Linked DNA regions of Caenorhabditis elegans. The protein of the gene in region 1 interacts with the protein of each later gene in a pairwise test. Each region holds a gene or a part of one and is shown in the gene's direction. Other genes may lie near its edges.

Region 1 (4,384 bases):
TGGGAAGTGGTGGAAATCTAATGGCAGTTAGAAAGTGGCCAAAGTAGGTTGAGAAGTGGCCACGAGTTGCCGACTACGGAACCTAGTAAATTTATTGACAAATCAGTCACATAACCTTGCTCTTGGAAGTTCACACTGTAAAACAGTGAGAATTTTCAGAAAAGTTATATGGATATATTTAAAGAACCAGTGACAAAATTTAATATTTTGGTTCTTAAAAAAGTTAATTTCAGTCATATATTAGTTTTACTATAGATACTGTTCTTACGATTTTGTATTAGTCAGGTAAATACACATTTGTCAAACTAACTAGTAGTAAATACAGTTGGTTTCCAGCTAGAAAACACTATTCCTTATTATATTTACGTACACTCACCGATTAAAATGTCAAGTATTTATGAGTAACTGTCACAGGTTCGATTATCTTTTTTATATCGGTTAAATTATAGTCTTATTTCGTAATTTTCATTAAATTTTTTAACTGCTAAATAATTTTCCAGCAACTGAAGTTCAAAAATTTGATTGAAGTTGCAATCTATTTATGTTTCCTATCTAATTTATCATCTCTAGCCCTATTTCCGAAATAGTTTTCATTTTTATTTTTGAAAAGAGAATCGGTACTGACTACCCAGCACACCCAAATGTTTTGATTTCTAGACGGTTAGTCACCTCAGGCTGGACAGGACAAGGTGGGAGTGTGTTTGTTGACATTCTTCTAATCGATGAATTGCAATACCCAATGCCTTGGAGCATTTTCAATTTGATTCTTTCTTCTTCGTTTTCTCGTGTTCTCTTATCACTTTTCATTTGTTCTTTTCCGTTTCTCCGGCCATTCATTCAAAAGTGTAAGAAAAGACGTGCATGATGACTGCTGATAGCGTATCGCACTTTTTTCTCTGAATCTCCATTTGAAACCATGTAAATTACAGAACTCATTGCGGAAAACAGTACGGTCCGGCCTGCCCAAACTCGCCGTTGTTTTTGTGTGTGTGTGGGAGAGACAGATAGAGACAGTGCGAAGATGGGAGAGAAAAAAGAGACACGAAGAACGCGTGATAGATTTGGAGTATTAGAGAAAAGTAGTGTCGTAGCATTCGGCACATTTAGTGTTGCATACAATGCGCCGGAATCGACGACACTTAGTGTTGCCCCGGTTTGTTACTCTCCGGTTTCTACTGTTTCCACTGTTTCCCCGTTTTCACGTTCAAACACTCAACTAAAACCACCTCAATCACCGAACTAGTGACCCTGCGGGTTTTTATTTTGCGTTCTGCGTTTCTCAATTTCATTTATCCTTCTTTTTTCTCGCCGGTCCTCTTACTCATCTCCTGTTACAATTTGCACTACGCTCTTCTCATTCTCATTTTCCCTCTCAGTTGTTCCTCTATGCTTTGCCGCTAGATTTTTTTATTGCTCTAATAATTTTTCATTGGCGCCGCGCGGATATGTCGATATGTAGATACAGTCTCTCAAGCAGGCCAATTTATTGACAACAATGTTTGTTCAATGTACTCTGTTATGTTTTATTTTGGTGTTAATTGTTTCTGAAGCTGCAAAGAGTATATTTCAGGTAGCGAGACGATGGAGGCGGTCGCCGAGCATGATTTCCAGGCGGGATCACCTGATGAGTTGTCTTTCAAGAGAGGAAACACGCTAAAAGTTTGTTCAACAATATCATAACCGGGCCCTGATAAAATCAATAATTGCAGGTTTTGAACAAAGATGAAGATCCACATTGGTATAAAGCTGAATTGGATGGAAATGAAGGATTCATTCCTTCTAATTATATTCGTATGACTGAATGCAATTGGTATGTTCGGGAAAAAATAGTTTGACTTTTTTGAGGATTTAATCTATAAGCTTATATTTTAAAAATCAGTCGATCTTACTTCTCGCGGTTTTTGTTTGTATACCCCGCAGCTAGGGCGCGAAGAACTGAGAACGCTTGCGTAAACAATTTTTAAAATTTCTGGATTTTTAGGTACCTTGGTAAAATAACAAGAAATGACGCAGAAGTATTGCTGAAAAAGCCAACCGTACGTGATGGTCATTTCCTTGTCCGACAGTGTGAAAGTAGTCCAGGAGAATTTTCGATCAGTGTTCGGTAAGAAGATGTTATAGATTTTCAAAAAGTTATACATTTTTTTCCAGATTCCAAGATTCTGTACAACATTTCAAAGTTTTGCGTGATCAAAATGGTAAATATTACTTGTGGGCTGTCAAATTCAACTCTTTGAATGAATTAGTTGCTTATCACAGGTGAGTCACACTTTTTCAAAAAAAAAGTAAAAAATCAATAATTTTCAGAACCGCTTCTGTTTCGCGTACTCACACAATATTGCTGTCAGATATGAATGTGGAGACTAAATTTGTACAGGCCCTGTTTGATTTCAACCCACAGGAGAGTGGAGAGCTAGCTTTCAAAAGAGGAGATGTTATCACTTGTAAGTGTTTTTGAAACACAAATTTTCATGATTTTAAAATGTTCAATTGAAAGTTTGAATCAAAAAATTCTAGGTTTAATTGAAAATGGTAAAAATGGATATATCTTGGACTGTATTTCGAAAATTTTGAAACTATTCACTTTATAGATCTTAAAACAAGAATATTTAAGAAGAACCATAAAAATAACAAAAAGGTAATACAAAGTACTAGGAAGATAATATGAGACGTCTTGCTTAAACTAACTTTCACTGGAACAAATAAATGCACGTATTGAAAATCAGTTGTTAGATTAGTTTTTGTATAAACTCAAATTGAAATGAAAAAACTCTGTGGCTATTATTTACTTTTCGGAGAAACATTGGATTTCAAGATACAATTTGCAGCATTATGAATGTTCACAACGTAAAAATAGAGTTAATCGGTTGATCATCTATTTGTCGGGGTTGAGCAACCCCGAAAAATAAAACATTTAGAAAATCTCTTATATTTTATTTTCAGTGATCAACAAAGACGATCCAAACTGGTGGGAAGGACAGCTGAACAACAGGCGTGGAATTTTCCCATCCAACTACGTATGCCCTTACAATAGCAATAAGAGCAACTCCAACGTGGCTCCTGGCTTCAACTTTGGAAATTAGGACGTTATTTTAGGATTTTTCCTGTCTCTGTTCGTTCTTTAAAAGGAGCGTTCAATGTTTCTTCTATACCATTTGTTCTTGACATAGTAGTCTAATAAGCCCTCTCTTACTTAATCTCCAATAATAATCACTAAATCTTGTCACAAACACACTTTCCAATGCTGGGTATTAATTTCACAACTTTCTCAAAACTGAGATAAGTTGTTCGTGTTTTACATGTAGACCATGAATTTTCAATGTTTTTATTCTTTGCAACTTGGAACTGCCATTGGCAATGTTTTATCGATTTTTTGTTCGGTTTCGTTGGCAATGATACAATTCTTGTTGTGTTATCAACAGCCTTTTCTTTCCCGCTTTCTTCCAACCCCACACCAATTCTATTACGGATCTATTAAGCGATTAGATACTCTGACACAATACTCAGAGACTGTTCGCATTTGTTTTTTTTTGTGTTCATGCAATTTTTGTCATAACTATTTGCCATTTCTCGTCATTGTCTCTCTTTTTCTTTTGACATTTTGCAATTCATCCAAAACCAATACGATTTTTCGTTCGGTGCTACATTGTTCGGTTTTATCACAACTCACACTGTTCTGATATAGTTTTATCACTTCATTCTATTCCTCCGGCTCAATCTCTTGTCGAGAGCATCATGAAGCTTCTCTCTGCCTCCCACTTTACTCGCCGTCTTGCTTTTATATCGAATTTGTCAAGTATTTTCCAATCCCTTTGTAAATCAATGAAGGTTAATAATTATTATATTAATCCACTTTCTATAATTTTTACAGAACATAATTTGTAGATGCAAAGTAGTTTATCTGGAAAATTTTGCATGTGGAGTTTCCTTTAATGACATTTTCACATTTTGCAAGCTAGTTTGAACAAAATACTCAGACATTTCGAATTTTAATAAAAGTCTTCTCCGATTAGTTTTAAAGTTTATACGGCTCTAAAAACGAAATTAAACCATTAGTTAAAATTCTATAACGAGTCAATGATAATAATTAAAATGAGCGTAATGGGTTGTGAAATCTTTTGTCAACGGAAAAGGTGAAGTGGTATGTTTTTCGAACTTAAAAATCAATTTTTTTTCAACCAAAAAGCGCGCCGTCTTTACTTATTTCTTGGATATACCAGATAACAATTTATTCTAAATTTTAAGTTATTTTTTTAAATTATAATTTGTGAGTCTCAAAAATGCAATAGTGCTCTCAATTTTTTTAAAGCAACGTTAATGTCTTTTGCTTTACCACACCTTTGATTAACAATTGAATTTTGAAAGAAAACGTAACAATATAAAG
Region 2 (2,836 bases), on another chromosome or scaffold:
AAAATTGAATATCGTTGTCACAATTCGAACAAAAATTTGTTTCGAAAATAGAGCCCGTAAATCGACCTACAGTAGTCATTTAAAGAATTACTGTAGTTTTCGCTACGAGATATTTTGCGCGTCAAATATGTTGCGCAATACGCATTCTCAGAATTAAGATATCTGATGTAATTAAAGAAAAAATCTGTCAAGGTTTGAGTTATCATAAATGTCTGCTTGATTAGTTGATCAATGGAAAAACGAAGACAAAAAGAGTAAAAGACATTCGTCAAACGGCGACGACAGAGAGCACGTACCGCCTGATAAGCGACTCACGTAGCCTATCTTATCAGCATCTCAACTGTGCACGCACACACACAAAAACCCCCGGCTCCATTTGGTGACGACTCACGTGATATGATGGCAGAATGATGATCAACTTTCCTACTTCATTGCTATCGATTCACCGATGATGATAAAAAAGGGTCAGGGACAAACAGAAATCACGGGATACGACCTAGATTGTACACATAACAGAAAGATTCCGATTTCTACTCATTCCTTTTCAATAATCATGACCGAATTCACGTCACTTTTTAACATTCGTTTTTCTTCTTCTTTTCTTCAAAATATATTTCATTTTTAAAAATGAATTCTGTTCGAATGCTCGCTAAGAATGCAATTAGACCACTCATCAAAACTCGGAGTTATACTGGATTCTCTCAGTCGTATGTTATTTGCTTGAATTTTAGATTCTTGTAACTCCTGAACACTAAAAACACTTTATTATTACTTTAAAAAATTCTGAGAATGCGTATTGCACAACGTATTTGACGCGCAAAATATCTCGAAGCGAAAACTACAGTAATTCTTTGAATGACTACTGTAGGTCGATTTATGGGCTCAATTTTCGGAATGTATTAAAATAATTTATTTATCGAAATGACAAAAATCGAAAAATTGAATATCGATGGCACAGAAATTCATTACAAAAATCGTTTTCGCTACGAGATATTTTGCGCGTCAAATATGTTGCACAATACGCATTTCGAAAGCGAGTGGTTCCCCTAATAAAGGAACTTTTAAGTTGAAGCATAATACTATTACGGGAAGACAAGTTTCTGAAAATGCGTATTGCGCAACATATTTGACGTACAAAATATCTCGAAGCGAAATCCACACTAATTTTTAAATGGCTACTGTAGCGCTTGTGTCGATTTAAAATTACTGTAGTTTTCGCTACGAGATACTTTGCGCGTGAAATATGTTGCGAAATACGCATTTTCAGAATTTTGTGTTCCGTAATAAGTAGAACAAATAACAAAAAATTCAACTTTTTCGCTTGAGATCACATTTTCGAAGTTTCTAATTTCATTCGCACTTAATTTGCCCTATCTTCCTTTTCTTCCAATTCACTTGATTTTTGCCATTTTCTGACGCTGATCATAGTTTTTTTGCCTTCTCAAAATCTCATTCTTTTCCTTAACCTTGTTCCTTATCAATTGATAAGATGCACACCGTCTCCGCCTCCCGACGTGCTCCACCCCTTTCCTGCTTAAATACCAACTATTTATGCTCATTGAGCAGTATTGCAGCCTTACCAGCCACAAACTACCATCAATAATGTCTCTCGCTCGTCAAAACTACCACTCCGAGGTTGAAGCTGCCGTTAACAAGCAGGTACGTCTTTATTTCGATGTTTCTAAACTAAATCCCCTAATTTTTCAGATCAACATTGAGCTCTATGCCTCATACGTCTACCTTTCAATGTCATTCTATTTCGATCGTGACGATGTTGCCCTTCCAAACATTGCCAAGTTCTTCAAGGAACAATCGGATGAGGAGCGTGAGCATGCTACCGAGCTCATGCGTGTGCAGAATCTTCGTGGAGGACGTGTCGTGCTTCAGGACATCCAGAAGCCAGAGAATGATGAGTGGGGAACCGCCTTGAAGGCTTTTGAAGCCGCGTTGGCTCTCGAGAAGTTCAACAACGAGTCGCTTCTGAAGTTGCACTCGACAGCCGGAAACCACAACGACGCGCATCTCACTGACTTTATCGAGGAGAAATATTTGGACGAGCAGGTGAGGATTATTCTATTTTTTTTAATTTAGAATCTGATGAAATTAACAGGTCAAATCTATCAACGAATTCGCCCGCATGGTTGCCAACCTCAAGAGAGTCGGACCAGGAGTTGGAGAGTACGTCTTCGATAAGGAACACTTTTCCGATTAATTAATATATATCTTATCTGCTCATCGCATCTTCTTTTGTTCTCTCTGTACATAATTATTTGCGAAAATTTACAAACATGCCACAATCTGTCAAATGAAAAGTATTGATCGAAGCGTTTTTGTTTGCCACAGTTCATTATCATACTAATTCCGTGTCACAATCTTTCTTGATAAGCCGTTTGGTCTTTAACTTTCCAAAGACGATTTTAAAATTCTCGGAATTCGAAATCGAAAATGGAACAGAATAGGAATGAGTGTGAAGTGCAAAAAGCAGGCAGATTAGAAGATTTCCATCGGCCTTTGTTTGACTTTTTTGCAATCGAGAAGCGATGCAAATGGGTTAGCGAGATGAGTTATGGATTCGCCAGGAAAAGAAGGACATTCTCCTCCGCTTTTGTTTATTTTGATTTGTTTTCCTGGGGAAAGATTGATTCGGAAGGTGTGATGGATGAATTGAAACACATCAGTTTTAACTCTAACAGTAAGATTTTCTATTATTTGATTTTTCAATAATTGTTCAAAGAATTGTGCTAACTCAATTTTTGCCACTGAAGCTTCACATTTACTTCGGAAATTATTGCAGAATTTGGCAATTAAACAAACCTTTGACTAGAAACTTCAGAAA
Region 3 (7,636 bases), 1.7 Mb from region 1:
AACATAAGGACAATTTTTCTGTAGAAAGTGAGCAGAAATAATCAATTTTTTTTTTAAATCACATTGGAAACTAAATCCTCAACGCAATTTTAGATGTTTGAAGTGATATGTGTTTATTATTCACCTACATATGCAACACGTTGGAAACACTTATTACAACTTAACAGCACGGGTTTATCATTCTTCCTTCCTTCCACCTTCTCCTCTCAATTTCCACCCTTTATCTTCCCTTTACTGCACTTCATAAGTGCTTTTATCTCTTTTTCTTTTCCTCTCGATTTGCAGCATGTCATTATCTTTTTTGTCGTATATGTTTAAGTCAACGATTATTAACTTCAATTTAAGCATCGACCGTGTATCCTGTGCTATTATGTTTTTGTTGTTTGAGGCTATTTTGAAAAGTGCACAGCCTCCTCCGCATGTGCTCACTAGTTCTAATTGAATTTATCTGATTATTCGAGGAGAACCTTCTCAGATGCATAGAGTTGGTTTTTGTTCAAAAAATTTTTTCTTAGTCAGAAGTTAAATGTAATGTGCACCCATCACTGATCATAGTACATATGAATATAAAGTTTATTCAGCGAAGTTAAGGATTCTAACATGTAAAACAGCTGAATTATTTAAATTAGGAAAAATCGGTTAAAATCACCTTGAAAAATGTTGCCATATTGACTATAGCTATTAAGTAATAATTTTCTAAATGGAATTCATATTAATTCAGCTGGCAAATTTGGAAAAGTGTTTTGTCACCATCATGTTTTATTTTTATTTTTTGTAATTCAGTTAAATTGTTGGACGCTATGTTTTTTTGTTGAAGAATTGACACGAAATTCGTTAAAACTATAATTATCATTTTTTAAGAACATATCCGACAACTTTTCGTGAGAGCCATTGCAGTTTATAAAAGGTATCTTGTTCTAGTGGTACATTTTAGATGTAAACTCGCAAAGAGCTGATAATATGAGGAAAATCTTCACTATAATTTTTCACCTAAGAATATCCTTGATGACTACAACTCGAACTCAATTTTCCATAAGCTACTATTAAACTTTTTTTTCCTACATTGACCATTAGTAGTATTAGCTGTAGTTATATTCTTTGTTGTTGTTGTTGCATCCAATGCACTCCTAGACCGACAAAAATTGCAAAGAAGAAGAGGAGAAAAGAATGTGTAGTTTTGTGGAGTTGTGAGTGACCGGCCATCCACATTGCGCCCTTCCTATTCCCATCACCCTGCTTTCACCACTCTTGTCGAGATTTTGGTGAAAAGCGAGTAAAATGCAATACATTACGAGGCATTCTTCGCGCGGGAGGAAACCCGGGGACCCCCTTGCTTTTCATCTACAACACTCCCTTTTTCTACATATTTCGCATTTCCTATCTTTTTATGCATTACTACTTCTTGTGGACCCCTTGAGTAGCAAAATACAACTACATCTCAAAAAGAGAAAGTAAACAAGATTAAGACAAAAAACTATATGTGTTCACAAAATCTGTTCTTTCTCCTATATTCTATCCGTCTTTTTTGTTTCCTACTTTTCTTTTTGTTTTTTGACATGAACATCTGCTTTCTCTTTTGTCCTAAATTAAATTCTGAATCGATCATTTTACAGGAGCTCAGATGAAATGAGCCTCAAAGACTTTGTCATATCAAAAACCGAAGTAATCGATGCTTGTAAAAAAGGAGAATATGATAAAGTTGCGTTGTTTCTCAGCTCGAAAAAGGGCAAAAAGATTCGAAGCGGGCTGAAGTAATACTTATTTTCTAATTTTCAAATAAACTATTGATATTTTTCAGATTTTTCACAACGCGATCAGACAGTCATTGGCTCGCCGACTACAAAGATGAAAAATCTGACTTCACCTTACTCCATCATGCGGTTCTCGAGAATCAAAATCAAATCAGTAAACTCCTTATGGACTACGAACCACTTCTTTTACTGTGTAAAAGTACAAAAAATATTTTACCAATTCACTTGGCCGCCTGGAATGGGAACTTGGAGATTGTGAAAATGCTTCTTTTACAAACAATGGAAAAGCCCGCAGATATTCTGAATGCAGTGAACATTTTCAATGAAACTCCACTTCATCTTGCAGTTCAGAGATGTCATCTTGAAGTTGTGTTCTATTTGATAAAGGTAAGCAAAGATAACTTTGAGAATTAAAACTATTCGACTGTGAACAGGAACAACATTCATATCTATAATAAGTTATTCAATTTTGCAATGCGTTTGACGTTTGATTCTTGTATAGAGATTAAATTGTTGACAGATTTAACAATTGTTAGCTTGAAAAATCACGTATCGTTTCAATTTCCTTAAATTTCAGAAAAATGCCGACCCCTTCATTCGTAATGAAAACAAGGAAAATGTGATTGACGTTGCATCACGCATTGGATCTGCTGAAGCCATCAGAATGTTGTGCCAAAAATGGCCAAAGTTTCCTGTGCAGTCAGCATATGAGTCTCTTCGAGTTGGAACACCGGACATAAAACGGCCCTTTCCGGCCATATACCCATTTCACCTTGCAGCAAAGTATAATCACGTTGAGTGCATGCAAGTGAGTTGCTTTTTCCACTTTGCTATTCATTATTCAAGAATTGAGTATAAGAGTAAGGGTGATGCAGAATAGTTTACTCCTTGCGTGAATGTTGGTAGCAATTTGAGAATAGCAAAAAAACGGGGTTAATTTTCTGATAGGCGTGTTTCATATGAATCTGCAAGTTTGTACAATGTTTACAAATTTGAAATTCGAAATAGATTCGATAGTAACATGCTTATGATTTCATTTTCATAACTCATCCCAAAAAACGTTTAGTTTGAAATATAAACACTCAACAGATATTTTTTTGACTGTGCACTTATGCGTCACGGTGTTTGCGGTTTTCCAACAAAAAAAACTATATTTTCTGTAGTAAATATTTTGAAACACTACTATTTATTATTTGTATTTTTGTAGTTTAATCATAGGTTTATAAGACTCATATGTTCTGTAGATTTTTTTAGTTAAACAAACCCAATCAAATAATTTACTGTTTCACTTAAATGAAAAATGTACTAAATGTTTAATTTCAGGCTCTTCGTGAACATGGTTTCTCCATTAACTACACTACGGAAGATGGGACAGCTCTACATGTGGCTTCTGCTTGTGGACAGGCCGAGGCAGTCAGGTTTCTGCTGGAAATTGGCGTGAACACTGATATCAAAAATCAACACGGACAAACAGTGCTCCAAATGATCATCGATCTCCAGGAGAACCGAAGGAATGAAATCGCCCATTTTGTAAAAAATCCGGAAGGATGGAAGGAATGTAGAACAATTATCGAAGGAATGGATAGAAGAGACTCTGGAAGAGAAACCGAAGGAAGTCAAAGTGACAATGAAAGAGAAGCAATTTGGCAACCACTTCCAAGTCAAGCAAGCGGTGGGTTATTTTTAAAACTAATAATATGTGCATTGTAAGGAACATTTCGGTTATCAATCGAGTTAAGCTCAAAGTTCAAAATCTGAATGATAAATAAAGTTATTCACGATTTCAGTTCAAGTATACCCGGATCAACGAAGAAACAATCATTCCATCTACCAGCCACCTTCTATTTCTGCAAGACTGCGAGATTTATCCCCCGACGACTCTACAGAAGCTTTGAACAGTGTTCGATCAGAGGGGCCTTACACCACACACTCTATCAATCGTACATGGAACAGTTCCATGTTAGACAGAGCTCCAAGAACTGGAAGGTTCCCGTTGACATCGCCTAGTTATCACTCAAAGCATTATTCGTGTCAAAGATCCAGCGATACATTGCCAACGAGGCTGAAAAATGTTAGAACGAGGCCAACAGAAAAGCAAATAGGTAATCTATTATCGATATTCTGAGTTTACGGATTGACTTTATTTTCAGCTTCTGTACTCCCGGGAGATAATTGTGCATACAACTCTCCTTCAAAATTCAATGAATGGCAAAAGAGTCAACTGACCATTAGCAATCGTCCGCCAGCACCATATGACAACGTTCCGAACAACTCTGCAATATTCGTCCGCCCCAACTCACCAATAGCAAGATCTGCATCACTCCGTAGACAATCCGGATACGCAACACTTCCAAAACTTGCCACCTACTCTCCAAGAATTCCAGATCATGGTCGTCCTGACCTGAATGACGCCTTTATTCAAGACCCAGACAAAACAATGGATAGGTCATTGAATCGGAACCGTAAGTATAGGAAACGACTCTAATTAATATAAAATAAAGACTTTTAAGAGTTTTCTATTTCCCGAACTACGTGTGATCGTGAAGAATCGCTGGGATTGACGCAAAGTCCAAGACTGGACACCAGAGCAAGCAGCATAACATCATCCTTGACATACGCGTGCTCGACACTTGACAAAGGTAGGCATTTTAAGCAAAAATGGAATGATTTAGGGGCATACGACAACCTAAAAAATTTCTAGCATATGATGTACGAGTTGATAAGTTCGGGTAGATTATGAGAAAACGAATCTTCCAACACTGATCTCATGCTCGGTATCTTGTTAACTCTGAAAAAAAACTTTGGTCAATGACAAGGAAAAAATCATTTCCTAAACTTATGGAGTCCTGAAGTCAATCTAAATAAATGCAATTTCAGATAAGTTCTTCCGGGAACGCGAACGTGATAACGGCCGTGCACCATTGGCAATGCCAGAAGAAATAACAGGTTCAGTGACAGGCAGTGTCATTTACAGCCAAGGAAATGCGAATCAACATCTAAATGGGAATTATGAGAAAGACAACAATGTGACTGCAATTTTTTTAGAAGACGTGATGAGACCATCATCAAACTCTGCCGAGAGCCCACCTTCCCCAAACACCTCTAAAGCATTCATCTTTGACGCGTTATGTGGAAAATCTCGGCTGGTTGACTCTACAAATGTTGATTTCTTCTCTGGATTCTCGTCATCGTCAAATTTGAGCCACAGAAGCACTGAATCAACGTCGAAGGTGCAGATGAATAGCAGTTTCACTGAGCCGGAAGAGCCTGTCCGAATCCGCCGTCAAAATGGAACAACGAACCTTATGCTGAATTCACTTTCACCCACAGATAATTTGTCGTCCCCCTCATCAGACCAGAAATCAGACACGACCAGTGAAGAACCTAGTTGGGATAGGGTAAGTCGATCAGGGGACAAACCAATTTTTGTTTATTTTTTCGTAACAATGGCGTATCTGCAAAAAGCACACGGATTTTATGTTTCTCAACAGTTTCTCAATAGTCAGCTATTGTTAATGTAAAGAAAAACAGATCAGAAGTTTTTTTTAATGATAAAAACCTGCACTCGCTGTGCGGGCTTAATTCTTACGGTGTATTTGAAATACAGAGCCAGAAAAACTGTAATAGGTCAGTCTTTTTTGTGTATTTGCAAAGCTGGGTAGCGGGAATAAAACGCAGTAAAAAATAACGGCAGCGCCTAAACGTTTGTGCGTTTTTGGATTATCAGCATTAAACAACAAAAAACGATTTAAATGTCAATTCTATAATTTCAAATTTGAAAAAAGTGTCAGTGAAACTTTGTTAATTTTTTGTATAACAGGTGGAAAGTGTATTCGATTCGTTTGGTGCAGCTCCATGTCGTGAAAGTGTTTTTGTTCGTGAATACGAGCCACGTGTGGCAGTTTACTTACGTGATCGTGGGTCGAAAGCGTTGAGCGTAACACTTGTCGAGGATGAGTTCAGAGATCACAAGTCGCTTCTTGTAAAAAAGGTACTTTTAGTTACATTTTTGTTTCAACTTCCATTCATGTCACGTTTTACACCGGTTGTTCATGTTTCAGCAACCAAAAACAATAATTGAGTGGTTGGAAAGTGATGTTATGTTAGCCCCAGTAGCGGCTGATTCAGTTGGAGCACTTCTTCAAACTCATGGATATGATAGAATGGATCAACTAAAAGGGATAATAAATAGAAGTATCCTTACGGAAATCGGAGTAGATGACGTCACCAAGTTCAAGATAATGTCAGAGATTGAGAAATTGAAGGATGATGTTGCTAGTGCTGGTTGGTTTTTTTTTGAAACATAAAACACATTCATAAAACACATTTACTCTGCCGGAACATTTTAAGAAACCTTCATCAATTTTTCAAATCACTTTTCAATTCCAGGACGTTTCTTCTATGTTAGTGAATGGCTCAACTTCATCGGACTTCAAGATTACATTTCCAACTTTGTCGGTGCAGGATACAAGCATATGGCAAAATTGACAGAAATTGACTGGGACACGGCAAGATTGATGGTGAGTAAATTTGTTCAAATAACAACTTTTGTGATTTTAAGATACTTTTTATCACTGATTTCGCGTTTATTAATCAAAAAATATCCATAGACCTGTGATAATTGTTGCATATTTTTAATTTCAGCAACTCGGTGTTACTCGTCCTGGTCACATTGCTAGAATGCTCCATTCGTTCAAAAAAGCAGAAGACGAAAAAAGAAAAGAGTACAATAATCGACTACAGATTAAGCCATTAATGTCACCTCCTCCTCTGCCGCCAAGGTCAAAACAGTAAGTTTTTAATGAGAAATAATTTTCAAAAGAACAAACATTCAACAAGTTTCAGAAACAACTGTGCTGAATGCCCACAAGGCGATTTTGACAAGATCAAGAACAAGTTGCTGCAGGGCAACGTGGTGTATCGTGCACACCACCTCGGTGTTCTGGAAATTGGAGAAACCGAATGCTCTGATGAAGCTCATGCAGCTATGACAAGAATCAAAGAGTCGATAATTGACTGGGAGACTATTCCACGGGTTACTTTGGATTTGACTTGCAATGGAATCACTATCTTCGATGAAACTTTTAAGGTAATGATTAAATTATCACCTAATGGAATTGACAAATTGTAAAAGTTCAGCAGAACTGAGAAGCGGTTAAAGAATAAGGGGGTCGGGAAACAATAATTTAACGACTGATACACCTGCATTCGTTGCAGGAAAGTTATGACGTGAAAGTATTTCATAAAATCTGATTACTTATGAAATATACTTATACGATGTGAAAAAAACACAAAGATATTTTAATCGTATGGTATTTCGGAAATTGGATTTTAGAAATAGAACATCATATTTCTCGAACCGAGAATTCATATTTTGTTTGTGTTTATCAATTTTATCAATTGTATTTTCTCAGCAGACGTTAGAGGTTGAGACGTTTTTTGACTAGTCTAGGAAATTCGCCGCAATCGGATATCAGCTGTAGGCCACAAAAGACCACCCGCAATATTAATTTGATTAGAAAATCCGAAGCGTTGACAAACTTGCCCCCCGATTAATCTCAATGATTTTTTAGACTCTACTTGACGGCTATGGTGTCTATACAATAAGAGTCGTATGTCAGGATAGAAAGGATCTCAACTTCTTCTGCTTTGTTGCAAGGGACACTGAAAATCGTTTCTTTTGTCACACTTTCTGTGTGCTGACCTCGGTATTTCGCACAAATAATGCCTTAGAAAAGTTCATATTTCTAGGGAATTGCCGCAGAAATCATCACCACAATCGGAATGATGTTTGAGCTCAGAAGCAGAATGGACAAGTCTCTGCCAATCGAAGGAACAATGGTACGATGCCGGCATAACAGTCAGCAAACTACTGAGAACCAAAG
Region 4 (8,007 bases), on another chromosome or scaffold:
TTCTCAAAAAATTTGAAAAATTTTAATAAAAAGTTTACCGATCCAATGAAAGCTTAAATCCCTAGCCTGTTAATCAAATCTAATTTGATAATGACAGCTTCATCATCCTCTCTCTCTCCCTGTCCTCTCCGCGCGCAAAAAAAGATGTTTTCCCACCAGCGCGCGGGCGCCTCCGCTGCTGTCGAAATTGCCATTTTTGTAGGTCTGCGTCTCTTGGGATCAGTATGCTACCTGCAATTGGGAGTTTAAGGCACGCGCGTTCCGCAAATGTTTGCTAAACGGCGCGGCGGAGAGAGGGAGAGAGAGAGAGAGATGCCTGACCTCGGTGGACAAATAGTGAGAGGGATGAAGAGAGAATGAGACAAAAACAGTTCCCTCTTCTTTTTCACCCCAAAGACGGTGGGCTAGCCAGCAACCGGCTAAATGAATTTCTTTCCGGCTTTTGGGTTTTTTACCTAATATTTTGTATTTTCATAGTTCTTATTATACAATTTTCGCCAAAGATAGAAAATGTAGTTTTCCTTTTAGGTCCCCCAATTTTAGATTATACTACTACTTTGGAACATAGTTTTTAGGCCTTTTTTAAAAGATTTTTTAGCTTTGGCTGAAAAACTCCTGGAACTGGGAATTTTGGCCCAGAAAATTGTGACGTCAACACGTTCTTAACCGTGCGACAACAGTTGGCGCATTTTTTGTAGATCACACCGTTATGGGACACTCTGACACCTTGTCGGAATATTGTTAGCCTAAAAAACTTTGATCCCTAAATTTTGTTGCTCACTTTATTCGAGAGAAATTTCAGTTTAAATTCTAGGCACTGAAATTATAATAGTTCTCGATTAATACTATGAGTTCCTTTCCTGCTTTATTGTAACCTTTTAGCTTGAAATTTTACTTTAAAAACTGAATTTTCTACTCTAGAAGATTGATATATTGAAAAAGTTGTAACTCATATATTATAATTTAGTGCCAATTTTACGGTCAAATTTTTTGATTTTTATTAGCTGACAACTTTTCATATTTTTCAGGATAAAATAGATATAGTAGTAGTCCAGAAAGTTATTTTTATGGCTCCTAGAAATCCATACAACTCTTTATTGGGGCTAGATGTCAAAAAGTTGTCAACTAAAAAAATGTAGCAAATTTTATGCGTAATGTATTGTTAGTTGACAACTTTTTTATATTTATTAATCTGAAGGTGTTATAGTCGATTTAATACAGCTAGTTAGTCCTAGCTTGCCCCTGAAACCCCATAACGAAGAAATATAAGAAAATTTCGCATTAAGTATTTTATTGGTTCACAAGTTTTGTGTTATTTCTTTTTTGAAACTAGTCCAAAATTATTTTTACTTGACTGATCATCTTAAAAATTTTTGCAAGTTTTCTTGGGCCCTTTTTTTTAATCGCTTACAAAGAAATGCTCCAGGCTCCTTTAAATTGTGCAGCAGACATTTATCGCTGCATTTTTCCAAATTCCCACCTAAAGTTTCGCTAAAAATGAATTTTCTGGATTTATAAACCCTGTAGCTCCCCAGCGTGTCAAGTAGTCAGAAAGTTTTTAACTGATAAAACGAAGTAAGCTTTGAAATCTACAATTTTTTAGTTGACCACTTTTTGATATATATATATCAAAAAATAGATTGACATACCAAAAAATAGATTGGCATATCAAAAAATAAATTGGCATATCAAAAAACAAATTGGCATATCAAAAAACAAATTGGCATATATATATATATATATATTTAAACGATTCATGGCAGTTTAACGCCCACACCTATTTTGCCCTGGCTCCTGGAAACCCCTATAACTATAACTTTAATTGGTGCTAGTGTCTATCAAAATGTTGTCAACTCACAAGTTGTAGTAAATTTAATTTTTTTGATCTACAATTTGCTAATTGACAATTTTAAAACGCTATATTTTGTCCAGCGAACCCTAATGAACCAGAACTATCTAAATTTCTTCCAGAACCTCCCAAATCAAAAAACTGACGACACCAGGATCGTCCGTTCCTCCCCATGGGATCCTGTATTGGAAAAGAGGATCCACCGCCTGGTGCAACGTCACCAGTCCACACGTCATCCACGTTGGGAAGGGAGTCACTGCCAAGTCATCCACGAATTCCGTCCATCGGTCCGATTGCGGCGTCTTCCAGTGGAAATACGATTGATAAAAATCAGAATATCTCGCAATCTGCGAATTTTGTCGCTTTATTCCAATATGATGCACGGACAGATGATGATTTGAGTTTTAAGAAGGATGATGTTAGTTTTTTATTTTATTTTTTGAAACTCCATATCTCATTCTTTCAGATCCTTGAAATTCTAAATGATACCCAAGGAGACTGGTGGTTCGCCAGGCACAAGGCAACTGGACGGACTGGGTATATCCCGTCGAATTATGTTGCCAGGGAGAAAAGTATCGAGTCACAGCCGTAAGTTTTTTTTTTTTTGAATTTTTAGCCAGCCTAGGGAGAGAGGCCGGACTTGAACTTGTGACCTCCAGATTGCTGGTGGTTACCACTACCTACTGAGCTATCCAGCGCCTCTTTGTTAGTTGTCACAGGGGCTTGATCAGGTGTAACTAAAACTGTCATAACTCCTTTGGCTTGTGAGATACAAAAAAATTGTCAACTAGCACATTGTAGAGCAGAAAATTTCCTACATTTTGTTAGTTTAAACTTTTTTGATAGCTAGCACCAGTGAAGAGTTATAGCACTTTAGAGGTGTCAGCGGGGAATCAGAGCAGGCGTAGAAATGGTTCAACTCTTTAAGTGTATTTTTACCGGCAAAAGTTGTCAACTGACAAAATGTTAATTGTAAAATTTACTACATTTTCGTATTTTGAACCTTTTCAGTAACTTAATGTTTGTAGAGTTACATAGCTTTAACGAAATTTTGAAAAAAATAACATTTTTACGAAACTTAGAAAAATTCCAACTCACATTAAAACCTTAAAACTCGAATAATTTTGTAGTTCACTGGTAGTAGTACCTAAAATCAAGTACTTAATATTCCCTATATTTTGTTAGTTGGCGACTTTTTAATATTATAGCTAACACCATTAAAAAGTTATAGGGATTTCTAGAAGAAATCCGTGTAGGCCTTAAAACTATGATAACTTTTTAAAATTGATTGATATCAAAAAGTTGGCAACTAGCAAACTGTAGAACATAAAATTTGCTACAATTTAATAGTTGACAACTTTTTAATAGCTTGCTTTATTGCAGAGTTACAGGGATTCAAAAAATAAGATTTTAAAAATCCGAAAATCTAAATTTTTACAAATTTCCAGGTGGTACTTTGGAAAAATGCGGCGAATCGATGCGGAAAAATGTCTATTGCACACTTTAAATGAGCACGGAGCATTTTTAGTGAGAGATTCCGAAAGTCGACAGCATGATTTATCATTATCAGGTCAGTGAACTTTTAAGGGCGCCCCATAGGGCACATGGCGGGCGAAAACCGGTTTTCTGGGAGAGATAATCAAGGTCGGATACAACAAAATGAGAAAGGCGCGGTGACAGTAAGAGGCAGAAAAGAGGTTATCCCCGCTCGCCCCGACCTTTTATGATTCCGAAAGTAATGGGAATTTGGGAGAAAGGAGGCAAATTGGGAGATTTTGATGGGTTTAGATGGGTAATTTGGGATGGGGGAATTTAGATGGAAACTGTCAAAAATAGATGGAATATACATAGATGTTTATTTAATTTTTAAAACTTTTTTTAAAAAATTCGAAAAATCATTTTCGATTTTTTTAAAAAAATTTTATTGAATTTTTTGCCAATAATTTTCTAATTTTTTAATAAATGTTTTTTGAAAAACTGATAGATTTCATTTTTTCTGAAAGTATTACAAAAAGTTTTTATCTTTATTTTCAATTTTACAATTCTGAAAAATTATAAAAAAATATGTATTTCGTGCTTTGTAGTTTGTAGTTTGTAGTTTGTAGTGTGTAGTTTGTAGTTTGTAGTTTGTAGTTTGTAGAAAACCTTTCAAAGCTCTTTTGAGAGTTACCAAAAAACGTTTTTTTGGGAATTTTGAATTTTTCAAATTTATAATATTTCAGTATTTTTTTTTCCTTTGTAACATTCCAAAAACTGTCAAAAAAAAAACAAACTCATCAAATTCCAAGTTTTCTTAAATTTGAAGATTGTAGTTTGTAGTCCAAAATCCCCCTATTAATCCCAATTTTCTTGCAGTCCGAGAGAACGACAGCGTAAAGCACTACCGTATCCGTCAACTGGACCACGGCGGGTATTTTATCGCCCGGAGGCGCCCGTTTGCCACGTTACACGACCTGATTGCACATTACCAACGAGAAGCCGATGGTCTTTGTGTGAATCTGGGAGCTCCTTGTGCCAAGTCAGAAGCCCCACAGACAACGACATTCACATATGGTAAGCTGGAAGTTTTTATGCCTGACAGGTGCCTACATCTGCCTAGATGCCTACTAGATACCTCGGTGCCTACTACATGCCTAGATACCTTTTTCATGCCTAGATACCTACGACATGCCTAGATACCTACTACGTGCCTAGATACCTACTACATACCTAGGTAACTGCTTGATGTCTAGATGCCTACTACATGTTTAGATACCAACTATATACCTAGGTAACTTATTGATGTCTAGATGCCTACCAAATGCCTTGATGCCTACTACGTGCCTATTAACCTACTACATTCCCAGATACCTACTGCATGTCTAGATACCTACTACGTGTCTAGATGCCTACCTGATACCTAGGTGCTTACTTAATGCCTAGATTCTTACCAAATGCCTAGATACCTACTACGTGCCTAGATACCTACTACTTGCCTAGATACCTACTACATACCTTGATACCTACTACATGCTTAGATACCTACTACAAACCTAGGTAAATCCAGTAGGCAAAAGGCGAACCTAATTCAGGCCAAAGTTGACTTAAAGGTAGGCAGGCATTATTGTGCCTACCTACTAGGCCAAACAATTCCAGGGACCCACAAGGCGCCCAGTTACCTTTAAAAATGTTCAAAATTCCCATTCCAGATGACCAATGGGAAGTGGACCGCCGTTCGGTTCGTCTCATTCGACAAATTGGAGCCGGGCAGTTTGGAGAGGTAAGCATCATCATTCTCTTTCGGTTGTTTGCTTATTCACGTTGCCTGCCTGCCCGCCAGCCCCACAGCCCGCCAAATAGTGTGCACAGGCTCATCCTCCTCCTCCTCCTCCTGTTGCCTATTCCGTTCGTGTTTGATGTATATTTGTGTGTGTGTGTGTGTGTGTGTGTGTGTGTGTATAGAGAATTGATGGAGAACGAGATAAACAGGAGAAGATATGCTAATTGAGTGGGGGTAAGGAGATGATCTTAGGGGAAAATTGCAGGGGGGGGGGGGGGGGGGTGGGTCCCCGATGCACCATGTGTAGCCCCAAATTACAATTGTTAGGGTAGAGCCTGAAAAATTTTAGGTTTTTTTGTAAAAAAAACCCCAAAAAATCGCATGAGCAAGAATTTTTCTTGATATTTCTAGGCGCACGGGGTTCTGGCCTTCCTTATTGATTTTTTCGCGCTCCATTGACCTGGACAACGCGTGGGAAAATCGTGCACTCCACACGGACAACTACAACAAGTTTTAAAACTAAAATCGAGCCGCGACGCGACACGCAACGCGCCGTAATTCTACCCCAGATATGGCCGATCCAAAATGGCCTTGTTCGGCAAACTCTTCCATCTCAATTTATGAGGGGAGCCAGAAATCCGTGTAGGCGCTACTTTACACTCAAAATAAAAAAAAACTGCGTGGCGTGTACTGCAGAAAACCTAATATTTAGGCCCCGCCTTTCTCTCGTCCACTTACGGAGAAACGGCAAAAATTTTGACCCCAACCAATATCAGGCCGCCAACATCTCACGGGTTCCGCGCGTCGCTGCGTTTAACTCGCAGCGGGCGGAGACAGCTCGTCACGCCCACAGCAAGTTAAACGCAGCGGCGCGCGAAACCCGTGAGATGTCGGCGGCCTGATATTGGTTAGGGTCAATATTTTTGCCTTTTCTCCGTGAGCGGACGAGAAAAAGGCGGGGCCTAAATATTAGTTTTTTATTTTGAGTGTAACTCCCAGAAACCTCTCAGCCTATGGACTAAAAAACTTCAGGCTTTTATTTTTCCGTGTTTTTCTTAATCCAGGGGCTTTTAGTGTAGATCCTAAAACAACCGGATAAAACGGTTTCCCCTTTTTCTATTGACTTTTCCATCTCCTGATCCGAGCAGCTACAGCCGCCAATATTGAAACAGATAGGACCGGTTTGAAACATGATATCACTCCCCTACAAACATCAGTTCCGCTAGGAGATCTCATAAAACGAAGGGATCTGGAACATAGAGATTTACCACTAGGGTTATAAGGAAATGTCGATGCACCATGAGTAAAAACTCAACCTCGAATATAGATAGCAAGGCCCTAAAATGAATGACAAATGTTCTCATTAGAGCGCACTTAAATTTGCAAGCATGAACGAAAATATGAGTTTTGTAAGAAATTTAATCTATGAAGCTTCAAAACCATGCGAAAAATGGCTAAACATACGAAAATTCTTACTACAGCTTACTAAAGTGTGTGTTTGAACTTTGAACTTTTTACCTAACCCCGCCCCCCCCCCCCTTATGCTTGCATGTTTAAGTGCGCTCTAGTGAGAACATTTGTCATTTTTTAATTAGAGCGCACTTGCAAATCAGCTTGCAGATCCTGGATGTACTACATAAACCATCAATTTCCAGGTATGGGAAGGCCGATGGAATGTGAACGTCCCCGTCGCTGTGAAAAAGCTAAAGGCCGGAACCGCAGATCCTACGGATTTCCTAGCCGAGGCACAGATTATGAAGAAGCTCCGGCATCCGAAGCTTCTGTCCCTGTATGCAGTCTGCACACGTGATGAGCCGATTCTTATAGTCACCGAGCTAATGCAGGAGAATCTGCTCACATTCTTACAGCGACGAGGTCGGCAGTGTCAGATGCCTCAGCTGGTGGAGATCTCGGCGCAGGTGAGGTTCACGTTCGGATTCCTCGAAATTAAAAAAAAATTTCAAAAAAAGTTTTGCAGGTTGCCGCTGGAATGGCCTACCTAGAGGAGATGAATTTCATCCATCGAGACCTAGCAGCACGAAACATCCTTATCAACAACTCCCTATCTGTAAAAATCGCAGATTTCGGGTTAGCCAGGATATTGATGAAGGAGAACGAGTACGAAGCAAGAACCGGAGCACGGTTTCCGATAAAATGGACGGCGCCCGAGGCGGCGAACTATAATCGATTCACAACCAAGTCGGATGTCTGGAGTTTTGGAATCCTGCTCACCGAGATTGTCACGTTCGGACGGTTACCCTATCCAGGTGAGGATTTGAACCGACCCGTTTGATCTACACGAATTGCGGAAATTTAGGCGCAGACTTTTCAACTGATTTCGCATGGTTAAGAGTGTGCTGACGTCACCATTTTCTGGGAGAAAAATTCCCGCATTTTTTGTAGATCAAGCCGCAATGAGACAGCCTGACACAACGTAAGATGGTCTCATTGCCGCATGACCTCCAGAAGTGGCGGGAATTTGAATTAAAAATTTTGACGTCATATGAGCTTTTTTGAAAACTAACATCCCGCCTTTTATTGAGGTCAAATTATTTTTTTTACAAAATGGTACCAGTTCGCTAATTATAAAAATTAAGTCCCTTATTGAAGGGGCCTTGAAAATTTCGCAAAACTTTGGGAATAGGTCGCGTCAACTAAAATGTGGAATATTCCTGCGCCCTTCGCCGTTTGATCTCCGGGAATCGCGGAAAATTCAAATTTTGAAAAATGCGATGTAGCCTAAGTTTTACTGTAGAACGTGGTGTCAGAGTGTCCCATTTCGGTTTGATCTACGTAGATCTACAAAAAATGCGCGGAGTTGAGACGCAGAGTTCTAAAGTGATTTTTAGAACGAAAAACTCCCGCATTTTTTGTTGATCAAACCGTGTAGTACCCCAGA

What was found.
Region 2: the proteins of sem-5 (region 1) and ftn-2 interact in a two-hybrid assay, tested with the Caenorhabditis elegans proteins (3 studies listed by BioGRID).
Region 3: the proteins of sem-5 (region 1) and C11E4.6 interact in a two-hybrid assay, tested with the Caenorhabditis elegans proteins (3 studies listed by BioGRID).
Region 4: the proteins of sem-5 (region 1) and src-2 interact in a two-hybrid assay, tested with the Caenorhabditis elegans proteins (3 studies listed by BioGRID).

The regions. Positions count from the first base shown.
Region 1 is NC_003284.9:7,958,910-7,963,293, reverse strand, and holds sem-5 (Sex muscle abnormal protein 5), read left to right. Parts: upstream 1-1,570; 5' UTR 1,571-1,581; coding exon 1,582-1,659; intron 1,660-1,709; coding exon 1,710-1,810; intron 1,811-1,981; coding exon 1,982-2,104; intron 2,105-2,151; coding exon 2,152-2,259; intron 2,260-2,307; coding exon 2,308-2,444; intron 2,445-2,943; coding exon 2,944-3,083; 3' UTR 3,084-3,841; downstream 3,842-4,384.
Region 2 is NC_003279.8:3,679,666-3,682,501, reverse strand, and holds ftn-2 (Ferritin), read left to right. Parts: upstream 1-1,574; 5' UTR 1,575-1,602; coding exon 1,603-1,659; intron 1,660-1,707; coding exon 1,708-2,061; intron 2,062-2,110; coding exon 2,111-2,212; 3' UTR 2,213-2,322; downstream 2,323-2,836.
Region 3 is NC_003284.9:9,608,950-9,616,585, forward strand, and holds the start of C11E4.6 (ANK_REP_REGION domain-containing protein), read left to right. Parts: upstream 1-1,613; 5' UTR 1,614-1,626; coding exon 1,627-1,751; intron 1,752-1,798; coding exon 1,799-2,138; intron 2,139-2,328; coding exon 2,329-2,559; intron 2,560-3,074; coding exon 3,075-3,423; intron 3,424-3,538; coding exon 3,539-3,853; intron 3,854-3,901; coding exon 3,902-4,213; intron 4,214-4,261; coding exon 4,262-4,390; intron 4,391-4,628; coding exon 4,629-5,149; intron 5,150-5,571; coding exon 5,572-5,742; intron 5,743-5,812; coding exon 5,813-6,035; intron 6,036-6,140; coding exon 6,141-6,271; intron 6,272-6,395; coding exon 6,396-6,541; intron 6,542-6,596; coding exon 6,597-6,840; intron 6,841-7,324; coding exon 7,325-7,459; intron 7,460-7,502; coding exon 7,503-7,636.
Region 4 is NC_003279.8:14,320,266-14,328,272, forward strand, and holds the start of src-2 (Tyrosine protein-kinase src-2), read left to right. Parts: upstream 1-1,971; 5' UTR 1,972-2,021; coding exon 2,022-2,267; intron 2,268-2,315; coding exon 2,316-2,437; intron 2,438-3,297; coding exon 3,298-3,419; intron 3,420-4,204; coding exon 4,205-4,402; intron 4,403-5,037; coding exon 5,038-5,108; intron 5,109-6,763; coding exon 6,764-7,027; intron 7,028-7,086; coding exon 7,087-7,375; intron 7,376-8,007. UniProt on the Caenorhabditis elegans protein: Non-receptor tyrosine-protein kinase which may play a role in larval and pharynx development. Unlike src-1, does not play a role in embryonic development.